Saccharomyces cerevisiae S288C: one gene and its partners. The gene in region 2 interacts genetically with the main gene of each other region. Each region holds a gene or a part of one and is shown on either strand. Other genes may lie near its edges.

Region 1 (3,315 bases), on a different chromosome or scaffold from region 2:
AACATTATATGGCTCTTTTCTGCAGCAGATACTTTTGGAGTCTTAAAAGCACAATGTTTGAGCCGGCCAGGCGCCCATAATTAGAAATAAAAACTGTTTATAGTGTAGATGATCAGTTGTGATTATGCTACTGTTACAATTAATGAAGTTGATTGCGATCTCTCCTTTTACTGTATCTTTAGTTCTGTTATTAACGACGAGCCAAATTCCAGAAAAACAGTAAGGGAGAAAGACTTTTCCTCTTTATTTGAACCGCTACCGTGAAGATCGTTTACTGCCAAATTTTGACAGCAGATTTTGTATATAGCTACCATATCAGCAGTTTCAATTATTTGATATTAATAAACCGCTCTTCTATTTTTTAAGAGATAACGAAAATTTTGCTTTACAAAATATTTAGCTAAGGTATAAATGTGCTATGGACGAATAGTGGAGAATACGCCAAAACAAGAACAAAAGGAGACCGGAAAACTTCTGCTCACAAATACTCATAATCACTCTTATTTCTTCTGTCCATAAGCTCTGGTGGCATAAGAACCATTCTGCACAATAATATCCTGTGGACGGTAATCAAACTTTTTGGAAAAGTAACTATTTAGGATGTTCTTTACTCCCTGAGCGTACCTCTTTTGAGCATCCAGAGATGTGCCACTGATATGAACAGTCATTGCGTTTCCCACGTGGTCCTTATTGTCCATAGTCCTCCAGGGATGGTCTTTTGGTGCTGGTTGCTTATCCCAGACATCACCACCATAGCCAGCCAATTTACCAGACTTGACTGCCTCGGCAACATCTTCTGCGACACAAATAGCACCTCTAGCGGTATTCACCAAGTATGCACCATCTTTCATGTGGGAAATAAGCTTTTTATTGAATAAACCCCTTGAGTCCTTGTGCAATGGACAGTTGATGGTAACAACATCTGACTGAGCAACCATATCCTCCAATTTCTCTACTCTCTGAACAATATCACCTCTGCCATTGAAAAGCTTGCTGGCCTCGTTCAATCTATTGATTGCTTCCGCAGGTAGTTCCTGGTAGTCGTAGTACAGTAACTTCTTCGGATTAAATGCGACCAATCTTTCCAGAACCCTATATCCAATTCTACCGGCACCTACCGTTGAAATTATTTTGTCTTCCAGATCATACTCATTTTTAGCCACGCCGGCAATATCCCACTCACCATTAATTGCTTGTTGATGACCACCATTATAGTTTCTTATCAAAACCAAAATTGTGGCCATAACGTGCTCTGCGACAGAAACGACGTTAGAACCAGTAACTTCGGTGACCGTGATTTTCCGTTCATTTGCAGCTTCTAAATCGACATGGTCTGAACCGACGCCAGCGGTTACACAGAGCTTCAGGTTAGGAGCTTCTGCAATCCTGTTTCTCGAGATGTAGGCGGGGAAAAAGGGCGTAGTAATGACAATTTCAGCGTCTTTCAACTCCCTGTCTACCGTTGAGGTTGGCTCAGGGTCCTTGTCAATGGTAGTAACCAACTCGTATCCCTGTTCTTCAATGAAATTTCTGATACCAAGTTCATTTTCAATACACCCCAATAACTTTTCCTGCTCTTCAGCATGCTTACCACCTTCGTAAAGAACCAGCAAAACCTTTCCCTTCGACATATTAATTTTCAGCTGTTATTTTGATTTGATTAGCGTTGCAATACTTGTAAATTGTTCCTGCTTAAAATGAATAAAAAAAGCACAATACAAGAATATGCATATTTTACGTAAATGATATATTAACTAAACTTTCCTCAGCAAGAACTCATTAAAAAAGACTCAATTTTGTGCCCTTTTATATGTTCTTTTTTTCAATGATTGACAGTGCAGAGTGATTTCTCCAACTTTTAGTTAACAGTGAATAATCCAAGAATAGTATATTCCGCATAACATCAAAATAGTTTTATTACTGGCATGTCTTTTTCATTCGGAGTTCTAGTATCGGTGCCTTCCTAGTAAGGAAATTCCCGATTATAAGGGAAAAAAAGAAAAGGGATAAGCCGCTTGGGCTGTTGGTCCAAACAGAATGTTTTAAACCATAGCCAAACAAGTGCAAAATAGAAAAGTTGGGGTTAAAACTCTCTTTCAAGCCTATCCTCGAGTGGTGACAAAATAGGTAATTTCCGACACTTTTTTCTGCTACTAAGCACCGTGAAAAGAGAACGTTTCGAGAGTACATTTCGTACTGAATGTTGTATAAACTCTATGCTTCTAAAGATTTATCCAAACCGTTGGAGCTTTCCCTTTATTTCTACATAGGTTTCGAAAACGGTCTCCTACGGAGCTTCTCCTTTTATGGCGATCTGTTTTTAAAGTGTTTTTTAGAAAACCATTAAACTCGAGGCTTGGTTTATTTTTGCCTTCGAGATAATTTTCTCTTTTCCTAAGAAATTTATGTTACGCCAACAAAGACAACTAATAAGGTCTCAGTTCCTCTTGATCGTTAGCGATAATGCTTTTTTTTTGCACTTGCGGAGTGTAAATATCTATAGAAAAATAAACCACTTGAACAAGGGGAGCTTCAAGAACCTTTATGCATATTATCGAAATTTTTAGAGAAAGGTTCACGATTCAAGCTTTGTTTACCAATGTGATGTATTACAGTGTTCATGTCACTTGCATTGACATTGTCTTTACACCACATTAAACACAAGTTAACAACCGTTCTCCGGGCAAAGCGAGACGATGCAGTAATCAGCGGCAATGAACTACGTATGTAAAAAAAAGATCGGGGTGTAAAAATTCTATGCCAAGAAAAAAATTAAAAACAAAATAAAAAAAAAAAGAAACTTGCGGCTCTTCACTCTTAAAAGACAAAAAGTATTAGGATGATAAAAAAAATTCATAAAAAAAAAAAATTCTATGGCCTCAGTTCTCGAAGAGCCCATTTATAATTGTTTACATAAATAATGAGATTCCACCGTCAAGGTACCGCAGCCACCGTAGGCGTACTGCTCATTGTGCTGCTTGGTTTCTGTTGGAAATTATCTGAATCTTATGGCATAGTGTCAACTGCCCTACCACACAAGCAACCTGCAACCAAAATCACAGACACACCTTCTATACGATGGGATAATTACCATGAGTTTGTCAGAGACATTGATTTTGATAACAGCACGGCTATCTTTAATTCCATTCGAGCTGCTTTAAGACAGTCTCCATCGGATATACATCCTGTCGGAGTATCTTATTTTCCCGCTGTAATTCCCAAAGGAACTTTAATGTACCATGCCGGATCAAAAGTGCCAACTACCTTCGAATGGCTGGCTATGGACCACGAATTCAGCTACTCTTTCGGCTTGAG
Region 2 (5,200 bases):
TTGCAGGTACCTGTAGAACTTAATGTGTTCTATTCAAAATAAGTATAAAATTTCTGGCCAGTAAAGGCAAACAAAACATAAAGATATTAATACGAAAAATTTCTTGAAGAAAACAAAAAATACTTCTTATAATAAAGAAACAGCGAAGCCATGGCTATTGACAAGATAATCAGGAAGGTGAGATACCCTGGATAGAAGACTAAGAGAGAGCAGGAAGTTGAAGAACGCAATCTCAGCTATCGCTAATTCTTACAAAAAATAAAGATATTACAACTATGGAAGAAAAAAATGAATGACTATACTAGTTAGTAATATTTAACAAGATAACGCTTTCTATTTTCTGTAAAAAAAATTCTGTCTCATGCACTTGGAAGCAGCTTCAACATTTCTCTTTTCCAGATGTCACATTTTCCGGACCGGCCGTCATTCAATCGCAATTAAAAGAGAAAAATACCAACAAGTGGGTTGATTTACTTTTGTGTTTTCAAAAAGACCAATAGTTCTAACAAAGTAGATGCTTAGAAGTAAGCAAAGTGGAATATAGAGAAACAAAATTAAGTGATAGATTTACTTTTACACAAGAAAAGAGATGAAAATTTTCAATACAATACAATCTGTGCTGTTCGCAGCATTTTTTCTAAAACAGGGAAATTGCCTTGCGTCAAATGGGAGTACCGCATTGATGGGGGAAGTAGATATGCAAACGCCCTTTCCAGAGTGGTTAACAGAATTTACTAATCTTACACAATGGCCTGGAATTGACCCACCTTATATTCCGCTAGATTACATAAATCTTACTGAAGTGCCAGAATTAGATAGGTACTATCCTGGCCAGTGTCCCAAAATTTCTAGAGAGCAGTGCTCATTTGACTGCTATAACTGCATCGATGTTGATGATGTAACTTCGTGTTTCAAACTTTCCCAAACATTTGACGACGGTCCGGCCCCGGCGACAGAGGCATTGCTCAAGAAATTGAGACAAAGAACCACTTTTTTTGTTCTGGGGATAAACACTGTTAATTATCCTGATATATATGAGCATATTTTAGAGAGGGGTCATTTGATTGGTACACACACGTGGTCACATGAATTCTTGCCAAGTTTATCAAACGAAGAAATTGTAGCCCAAATTGAATGGTCAATTTGGGCTATGAATGCCACAGGCAAACATTTCCCCAAGTATTTTAGGCCTCCATACGGTGCAATTGATAATAGGGTTAGAGCTATAGTAAAACAGTTTGGCCTAACGGTTGTCTTGTGGGATCTCGATACTTTTGATTGGAAATTAATCACTAATGATGATTTCAGAACAGAGGAAGAAATACTTATGGACATAAATACTTGGAAGGGAAAACGGAAAGGTTTGATCTTAGAGCACGATGGTGCACGAAGAACAGTTGAGGTTGCTATTAAAATCAACGAACTTATTGGTAGTGACCAATTGACAATTGCAGAATGTATTGGTGATACAGACTACATCGAACGCTACGACTAGAAGTAAGATTTCCGAGAAATAAAGTTTCTCTCTATATATCTTTGATCTCTTATTTAATTATTCAACTCGCAAAAATAAAAAGAATATTTTGTTATTTCAAAAGTAAAAAAGTATGTATTAGAATAGAGGACATATATAAAAATCATATATATCGATGCTTGAATGTATAAGGAAAAGCGTCAAATTATGAACGGTAGGTACTTAGGATGCTGATGTCACATAAAGTCAGAGGGTATAACTTTAAAAAGTAATTTTTTAGAATCTTTTAGCGTCAAAACGTTACACGTACATTTGAACAGTGTTAAGAGTAGATTAATTCAAATTATACTTTTACGTGCTCCGATACAGTCTCTACCTCTTCGTTGTCAGTGCAAATAACAATTGGCTTATCATGAACTGTTCTTGGAGATGGAGAATATCCTTTCAGACTCGTAATATTGATGACGGTAGTTATTCTGCGACATTGAGTAGTACTAGCATCCCTTATAACCGGAATAGTTGTTGATGTAGGTGAACTTTTTGGGACATAACACTTGGCAGTTGTTTGCAAATTTTTTGTGATCATTGATATGTTTCTTAGTGACATTTTTGATGCTATTGTTTTTATAGTGTAATTGCTATGAGTTTATTTTGTTGACAAGTATACTTGGCTGTCTTTTTTATATAATAACGAAAATGTGTAGTGGAAAAGCAGGTGTGTTTTGTCTTATATCTTACAAACTATATAGGCTTATATAGTTTTTTTTCAAAGATTCTTATTACTGCACAAAAAAAAATAAGATCCCAAATTGAACATTAACATTAGTCATATTCAGGGATGGCTCATCACGAACAGCAAACTGAATAATTTTCTTGTCTGCGTTCCTTTTTTTGTGCACCAATGGATGTAGTATGCGCACCTGATGCGCATAATAGATTGCAATTACACTGACTACAACTTACGTATATGCGTTTTTATTACTTTTCTATTGCAACGGCCTAAAGGAATTCGATAAAAGAAAGAGTAGGCAAGATAAGCCTGAATTTGGCTTTCGGCTGTTATTTTTACTTCCGCTAAATTTTCTTTGTTCTTCCATTGTTTTTTTGCCTTTGTGTTCTCCATTAATCCATCCAATTTTAATGTCGGATTAATGGAACTTTCTATTAACCCATAAATGCCACATAGTACGGCTGTAGCAGTGAAGGTTACAAAAGGACGGGTAACACATGAGAAACATGCGTCAGGGAACAAACTAGATATTTGATTTTGTGACGCAACGCAAAAATTACTGGCTATTCTTTTGTAGTATTATCAAAATCCATTTAAAATATTCTCTCTCCTTCAGTAATCCTCTATTATTTATCAAAAACCCACAGTGGGTAAACAAACTGCAAAAGAGTTGTTATTATTTCTACGGATCGGCAATTGAAAATGAGAATACAACTAAATACAATTGATTTGCAATGTATTATTGCACTTTCCTGTCTGGGGCAATTTGTTCACGCGGAAGCTAATAGGGAAGATTTAAAGCAGATAGACTTTCAATTTCCTGTATTGGAAAGGGCAGCTACAAAAACGCCTTTTCCGGATTGGCTTAGTGCATTTACCGGGTTAAAAGAATGGCCTGGGTTAGATCCACCTTATATACCTTTAGATTTCATTGATTTCAGTCAAATTCCAGATTATAAGGAATATGATCAAAACCATTGCGACAGTGTTCCAAGGGACTCGTGCTCTTTCGATTGCCATCACTGCACCGAACACGATGATGTGTACACATGTTCCAAACTTTCCCAGACATTTGACGATGGTCCTTCTGCTTCCACTACTAAATTATTGGACCGGTTGAAGCATAATTCCACCTTCTTCAATTTAGGTGTCAATATAGTTCAACATCCAGATATCTATCAAAGAATGCAAAAGGAGGGACACTTAATCGGCTCACATACCTGGTCTCACGTATATTTGCCAAATGTATCGAATGAAAAAATTATAGCTCAAATTGAATGGTCCATCTGGGCGATGAATGCTACTGGCAACCATACCCCCAAATGGTTCAGACCTCCATATGGCGGAATAGATAATAGAGTAAGAGCAATAACAAGGCAATTTGGCTTACAAGCCGTCTTATGGGATCACGATACTTTTGATTGGAGCCTCCTTCTCAATGATTCTGTCATAACTGAACAAGAAATTCTTCAAAATGTAATAAACTGGAACAAGTCAGGAACCGGATTAATATTAGAACACGATTCAACGGAAAAAACTGTCGATCTTGCCATTAAAATAAATAAGTTGATAGGTGATGATCAATCAACAGTTTCTCATTGTGTCGGCGGAATTGATTACATAAAAGAATTCTTGTCCTAATTTTCAGGGAATTGAAGAAAATAAGGAAGAATTAAATTACAATTTAAAAAGAAATTGCTTTAGTATTTTATATATAGACATGCAGCAACTTCTTGATATATTTCAGGAAGAAAAAAACTGTTTCAATATATACGTATCTTCTGCTTTCAGCTACATTTTTACTTCAGAGACATAACCAGTCTTTTTTCATCAGTACTGTCCAGTTGTAACAACATAGAAATTACAGGAAGTAATTGGTTCCGTTGTTCCTTGTGCTCCAAAAATCCCAACAAAACATTTTTTATATATGCAATTTTTTCATTTTTCTCAGAGTCTAACTCCAATGAACTTGATGATCGTATCTTCTCTAATTTAGTTGGATTAGAGTTATTCGCTGGTGAGGAATCAATATTCGCGTTAGCTAGAGTACCGATAGAACCAGACCTACTAACTCTTCCTGACTTGTCACTGTATTGTCTTTCCTTTAAAGCATTCAATTGAGAGGACAATGAACGATAATTTTTTAGTAATCGATCAAATTTCTTGTTAAGTTCGTTATTTAAATTCAGAAGTTTCTCATTGGCAGACTGTAGCTCAAAATTCTTTTCATCAGCCTTAGACAATGAGAGTTTTAAATTAGATGTGATCTGTTCCAACTGATCGGAATCATCTGAAGTGGCTTGAGTCTTCCTTTTGATGTCATTGTTAACATGTTTCAATGCGTCAACCTCTGATTTTAGTCCCTCTTCACGAAGCTTTAAAGCGTGTATTTCCGATTTCAGCTCAGTTACTGTATGCTTCCACTCTTGTAATTCAGTGGCCTTTCTGGATGTTTGTAAGTCTAATTCTGCTTCCAATTTATTCTTTTCATCCGTTAAATAGGCCAATTTATTCTCCAACTCTTTTTGTTTGCTCGAATCATCTGTCTGACTGTCCGAAACTAACCTTCTCAATGTGTTAGCTTCTCTGGTTTTGTCTTGAACAATATTAGCATATTCATTTAGTTCATCTTCTAAAGATAAAATTTTTTTTGTAGATTCCTTCAACTTGACATTTAGTTCCTCACATTGTCTTTTGATAGAATCTATGTGTTCATTCGAATTACTTTTTACATTTTGCAAGGTATTGTATTTTTCTTGCAAAATATTCAATCTTTCCGATAATTTACCATTTTCTTTCAAATACTCCTCGTAGGAATTAGAATTCTTTGCGATATCATTATGCAGTGTCTCATTTTCCTTTTTTAATAAGTCTAATCTGTTAGAAATTTTAGCATGATCTTTTCTCAGCTGTTCTGTGGATTTTTCAGCCACGTCCTTTTGCTCACTAAATTGTTTAACTTGTTCCTCCAAGTAACTCACAGTTTTTTCCTTTTG
Region 3 (3,767 bases), on a different chromosome or scaffold from region 2:
CAATGCCAATTTGGAGATAGCAATACGTACACCACCGATACCTTGGTCACCAATTCCCAGAATACCTTCCGAATCCGACACAACGATGTAGTCTACATCTTTGTCTCCACCGTATGTAGCCAATCTACATTCGATGGAATCAGGTTCGGTAATGTCTAAAAACACACCTTCTGGCTTTCTGAACCTGTGGGAATAGGCAGCAATAGCATCACCTTCGGTTGGGGTGTAAATGATAGGAACTAATTCCTTGATATGTCTCCTTATTAATGCAAAATATAGGACTTTGTTCTGTACTCTCAAAGACGTCATGAAGTCGTTTTTGGCCAAGGGCGTCTTCAAATAGCATAACTGCTTGTAGCTTCTTTCCAGTTGTTCGTCCAAAGTGTTCACTTGTGGTGGTAGCAATGCTTCTAAATTAAACGCTTCCCTTTCTTCTTGTGTAAATGCAGAACCCTTGTTAAATAAAGGAGAGTTTAAAAGTTGAAAGCTCTCCAAGGGACATTCTATGGCACCTTCTACAGTCAAACGAGTGGCATGTGGGTGAGGAGCTTCGAAGATCTTTCTGGCGCGAGAACCGACGGGTGTTTTAGTGACCTCCTCGTCGCTGTATGGCTTTTGGAAAGTATTTTCTCTTGTTGTGGTAGCTTTATGCGATCTAGTGTTAGAAGAATATAAACGCGATTGCTGAATAGGCCATCTTCTTAATGGTGCTGTCCTTGATGCTGTCAAGGATCTGGTTAGTTGCGATCTAGCAGCAACGGAAACGGATAGTCTGGTTCTAAGCATAACCGTATTTCTACCTTTTGTCTTGGTATTTATGTGCACTAAACTCGTTAAAAGTTGTAGGTTTCAAAAGCACAAATATCCGAAGCTGGACACAATATACGAGTAAGTATAAAGATACGCATATATATATATATATAATATGTCAATCATGCCGGTAACGGGTACGACTTCGAAACTCTATAGCGCTAAAGCTGTAGACCAAAGGAAGTCAAATGGAGCATACGCGGTACAGTAATAGGAAATTGCGAAAATTTTTCACCATAGAAAGGCGATGATGAGTCGAAGCCAAGGGGACTCAGTCACTCAGTCAGCTGATGCGATGCGATGTTAGCGCAAACAATAACGCGTACGATAATAAAACTTCAAATGCGCCAATTCTTTTTTTTTTTTTTTTTTTTTTTTGATTTCTTTTCATATATCCGATTTAAACCGCCTAGGGAAGAGTAAAAACCCGAATTGTTCCGTCTATACTTGGTTGTATGGGTGTTTTTTCTTCGATGCTTTTCGTATAAGAAGATATGCAGTGAATATCTTTCAATCGCCTTGAACGGTTGACAAGACGCAAGAATTTGAAAAACCTTGCAATGCACGATGCAATATTCAATTTGCACACATCGAAACGAATTGGTATCGAAAATAAACGCGAAACATATGAGAAATTTTTCTAACTTTTCTTCCTTCGTTAAGAGTGATCCTTGCACTGTGATGAATCGCTATAATTGTTGTAATGATTGACACTGGGTGAAGGGCAAAGGATGTCCAAATGATAAAAAAACAAAAAAATTTGGAAGTGTAAATTGTACCATGGGCGAATTTCAGGTTACTATTGTAGTCTGGTGAGTTAATACGTAATAATACTTGGTTTTTTTTTTTGGTTTTTTACTAAGCGTTACCGTGTGTAGTGATTATCTAAGCGGTTCTTGCAAGATTAGGAAAAAAGCTAATTAAGTGTAAACTTGGCAGCATGATTGCTCGTCCTAATCGAGCCAAAGATAGAAAACTACTGGAAGCAGCTGCTGCAGTGAGTAGAGTATGGATAGACCTATAGATGATATTGTGAAAAATCTTTTAAAGTTCGTCGTTAGGGGGTTTTATGGTGGCTCCTTTGTACTGGTACTCGATGCTATACTATTTCACTCGGTCCTAGCTGAAGATGACTTGAAACAATTGTTGAGCATAAATAAGACGGAACTGGGGCCGCTAATTGCTAGACTAAGATCAGACAGGTTAATATCCATACACAAACAAAGAGAATACCCTCCAAACTCAAAAAGTGTGGAAAGAGTTTACTACTATGTAAAATATCCTCATGCTATTGACGCAATCAAATGGAAGGTCCATCAAGTCGTACAAAGATTGAAGGATGACTTGGACAAAAATTCAGAACCTAATGGTTACATGTGTCCGATTTGTTTGACCAAGTACACACAATTGGAAGCTGTACAATTATTGAATTTTGATAGGACAGAATTTTTATGTTCCCTATGTGATGAACCGTTGGTGGAAGATGATTCTGGTAAAAAAAACAAAGAGAAGCAAGATAAATTAAATAGGTTAATGGACCAAATTCAGCCAATCATTGATTCTTTGAAAAAGATTGATGATTCAAGAATTGAGGAGAATACTTTCGAAATTGCATTGGCTCGCTTGATACCACCTCAAAATCAATCACATGCAGCATACACGTACAATCCAAAGAAAGGCAGCACCATGTTCAGACCGGGAGATTCTGCTCCATTGCCAAATCTTATGGGTACTGCTCTTGGTAACGACAGTAGTAGACGTGCCGGTGCTAACTCTCAAGCCACATTACACATCAACATTACCACGGCAAGTGATGAAGTGGCTCAAAGGGAATTGCAAGAGAGACAGGCTGAAGAGAAAAGAAAACAAAACGCTGTCCCTGAATGGCATAAACAGAGTACCATCGGTAAAACTGCTCTTGGTAGACTGGATAATGAAGAGGAGTTCGATCCTGTAGTTACTGCATCTGCCATGGATTCTATAAATCCTGATAATGAACCTGCACAGGAAACATCCTATCAAAATAACAGAACTCTGACCGAGCAAGAAATGGAAGAAAGAGAGAATGAAAAGACGTTGAATGATTACTACGCTGCTTTGGCTAAAAAGCAAGCAAAGCTCAATAAAGAAGAAGAGGAGGAGGAAGAAGAAGAAGAGGATGAGGAAGAAGAAGAGGAAGAAGAGATGGAAGATGTTATGGATGATAACGATGAAACTGCTAGAGAAAATGCATTGGAAGATGAATTTGAAGACGTAACGGATACAGCTGGCACCGCAAAGACAGAATCAAACACCTCCAACGACGTAAAACAAGAATCGATTAATGATAAGACTGAAGACGCTGTAAATGCTACTGCCACTGCTTCAGGTCCGAGTGCAAACGCTAAACCAAATGATGGTGATGATGATGATGATGATGATGATGATGAGATGGACATTGAGTTTGAGGACGTTTGATATGGTCCGTTTTTTTTAAATCTTACCAACTAGCTCTTACAATGTAGAACCAACTTTTCCTTTCTTCATTTTCTTCTCTATTGTATCAAGCTTCTCTTAAAATCTAAAAAAAATGAGAGAAAAAAAAAAGAATACGTCTGGAAAAAATCACATGAAAAAATTTCAGAAAAAGAAAGCGGAGCTACTAGACATATGGCATCTTTATAGTAATAATAAAAACATTACTAGTGAGAATATTGAGGTGTAAAAAATATTTTTTCGAGCATATTTAGTTTATATATATTTAATAAAGAACCTCAACTTATAGAAGGCACAGAAGGATTGCTTTATCATTCAACCAAAGTACAAAAATAATATGGTAGAGAAGGATACATGGAAACTGATAACTGCCACTGCACTATTCACTGTGGCAGTGACGACGATTACAGATTATGCTTGGACCAGTTGGCAAGCACAAAAGCAAGTAATTGCGCAACAAAAAAATAAGAATAAAGGTGGGC

Evidence for each region. A genetic interaction does not mean that the proteins touch.
Region 1: mutations in CDA2 (region 2) and FDH1 together harm fitness less than expected from each alone (positive genetic interaction), as found in Saccharomyces cerevisiae (one large-scale study listed by BioGRID).
Region 3: mutations in CDA2 (region 2) and TFA1 together harm fitness less than expected from each alone (positive genetic interaction), as found in Saccharomyces cerevisiae (one large-scale study listed by BioGRID).

The regions. Positions count from the first base shown.
Region 1 is NC_001147.6:1,071,293-1,074,607, forward strand, and holds FDH1 (formate dehydrogenase (NAD+)), read right to left. Parts: upstream 1,632-3,315; coding exon 501-1,631; downstream 1-500. Other genes in the region: YOR389W (uncharacterized protein), read left to right, coding at 2,921-3,315. UniProt on the Saccharomyces cerevisiae protein: Catalyzes the NAD(+)-dependent oxidation of formate to carbon dioxide. Formate oxidation is the final step in the methanol oxidation pathway in methylotrophic microorganisms.
Region 2 is NC_001144.5:745,031-750,230, forward strand, and holds CDA2 (chitin deacetylase CDA2), read left to right. Parts: upstream 1-2,906; coding exon 2,907-3,845; downstream 3,846-5,200. Other genes in the region: chitin deacetylase CDA1, read left to right, coding at 590-1,495; DPA10 (Dpa10p), read right to left, coding at 1,818-2,081; IMH1 (Imh1p), read right to left, coding at 4,004-5,200. UniProt on the Saccharomyces cerevisiae protein: Hydrolyzes the N-acetamido groups of N-acetyl-D-glucosamine residues in chitin to form chitosan and acetate. Chitosan is a component of the spore wall.
Region 3 is NC_001143.9:383,940-387,706, forward strand, and holds TFA1 (transcription factor TFIIE subunit TFA1), read left to right. Parts: upstream 1-1,818; coding exon 1,819-3,267; downstream 3,268-3,767. Other genes in the region: MAE1 (malate dehydrogenase (oxaloacetate-decarboxylating)), read right to left, coding at 1-786; TCD2 (tRNA threonylcarbamoyladenosine dehydratase), read left to right, coding at 3,623-3,767. UniProt on the Saccharomyces cerevisiae protein: Recruits TFIIH to the initiation complex and stimulates the RNA polymerase II C-terminal domain kinase and DNA-dependent ATPase activities of TFIIH. Both TFIIH and TFIIE are required for promoter clearance by RNA polymerase.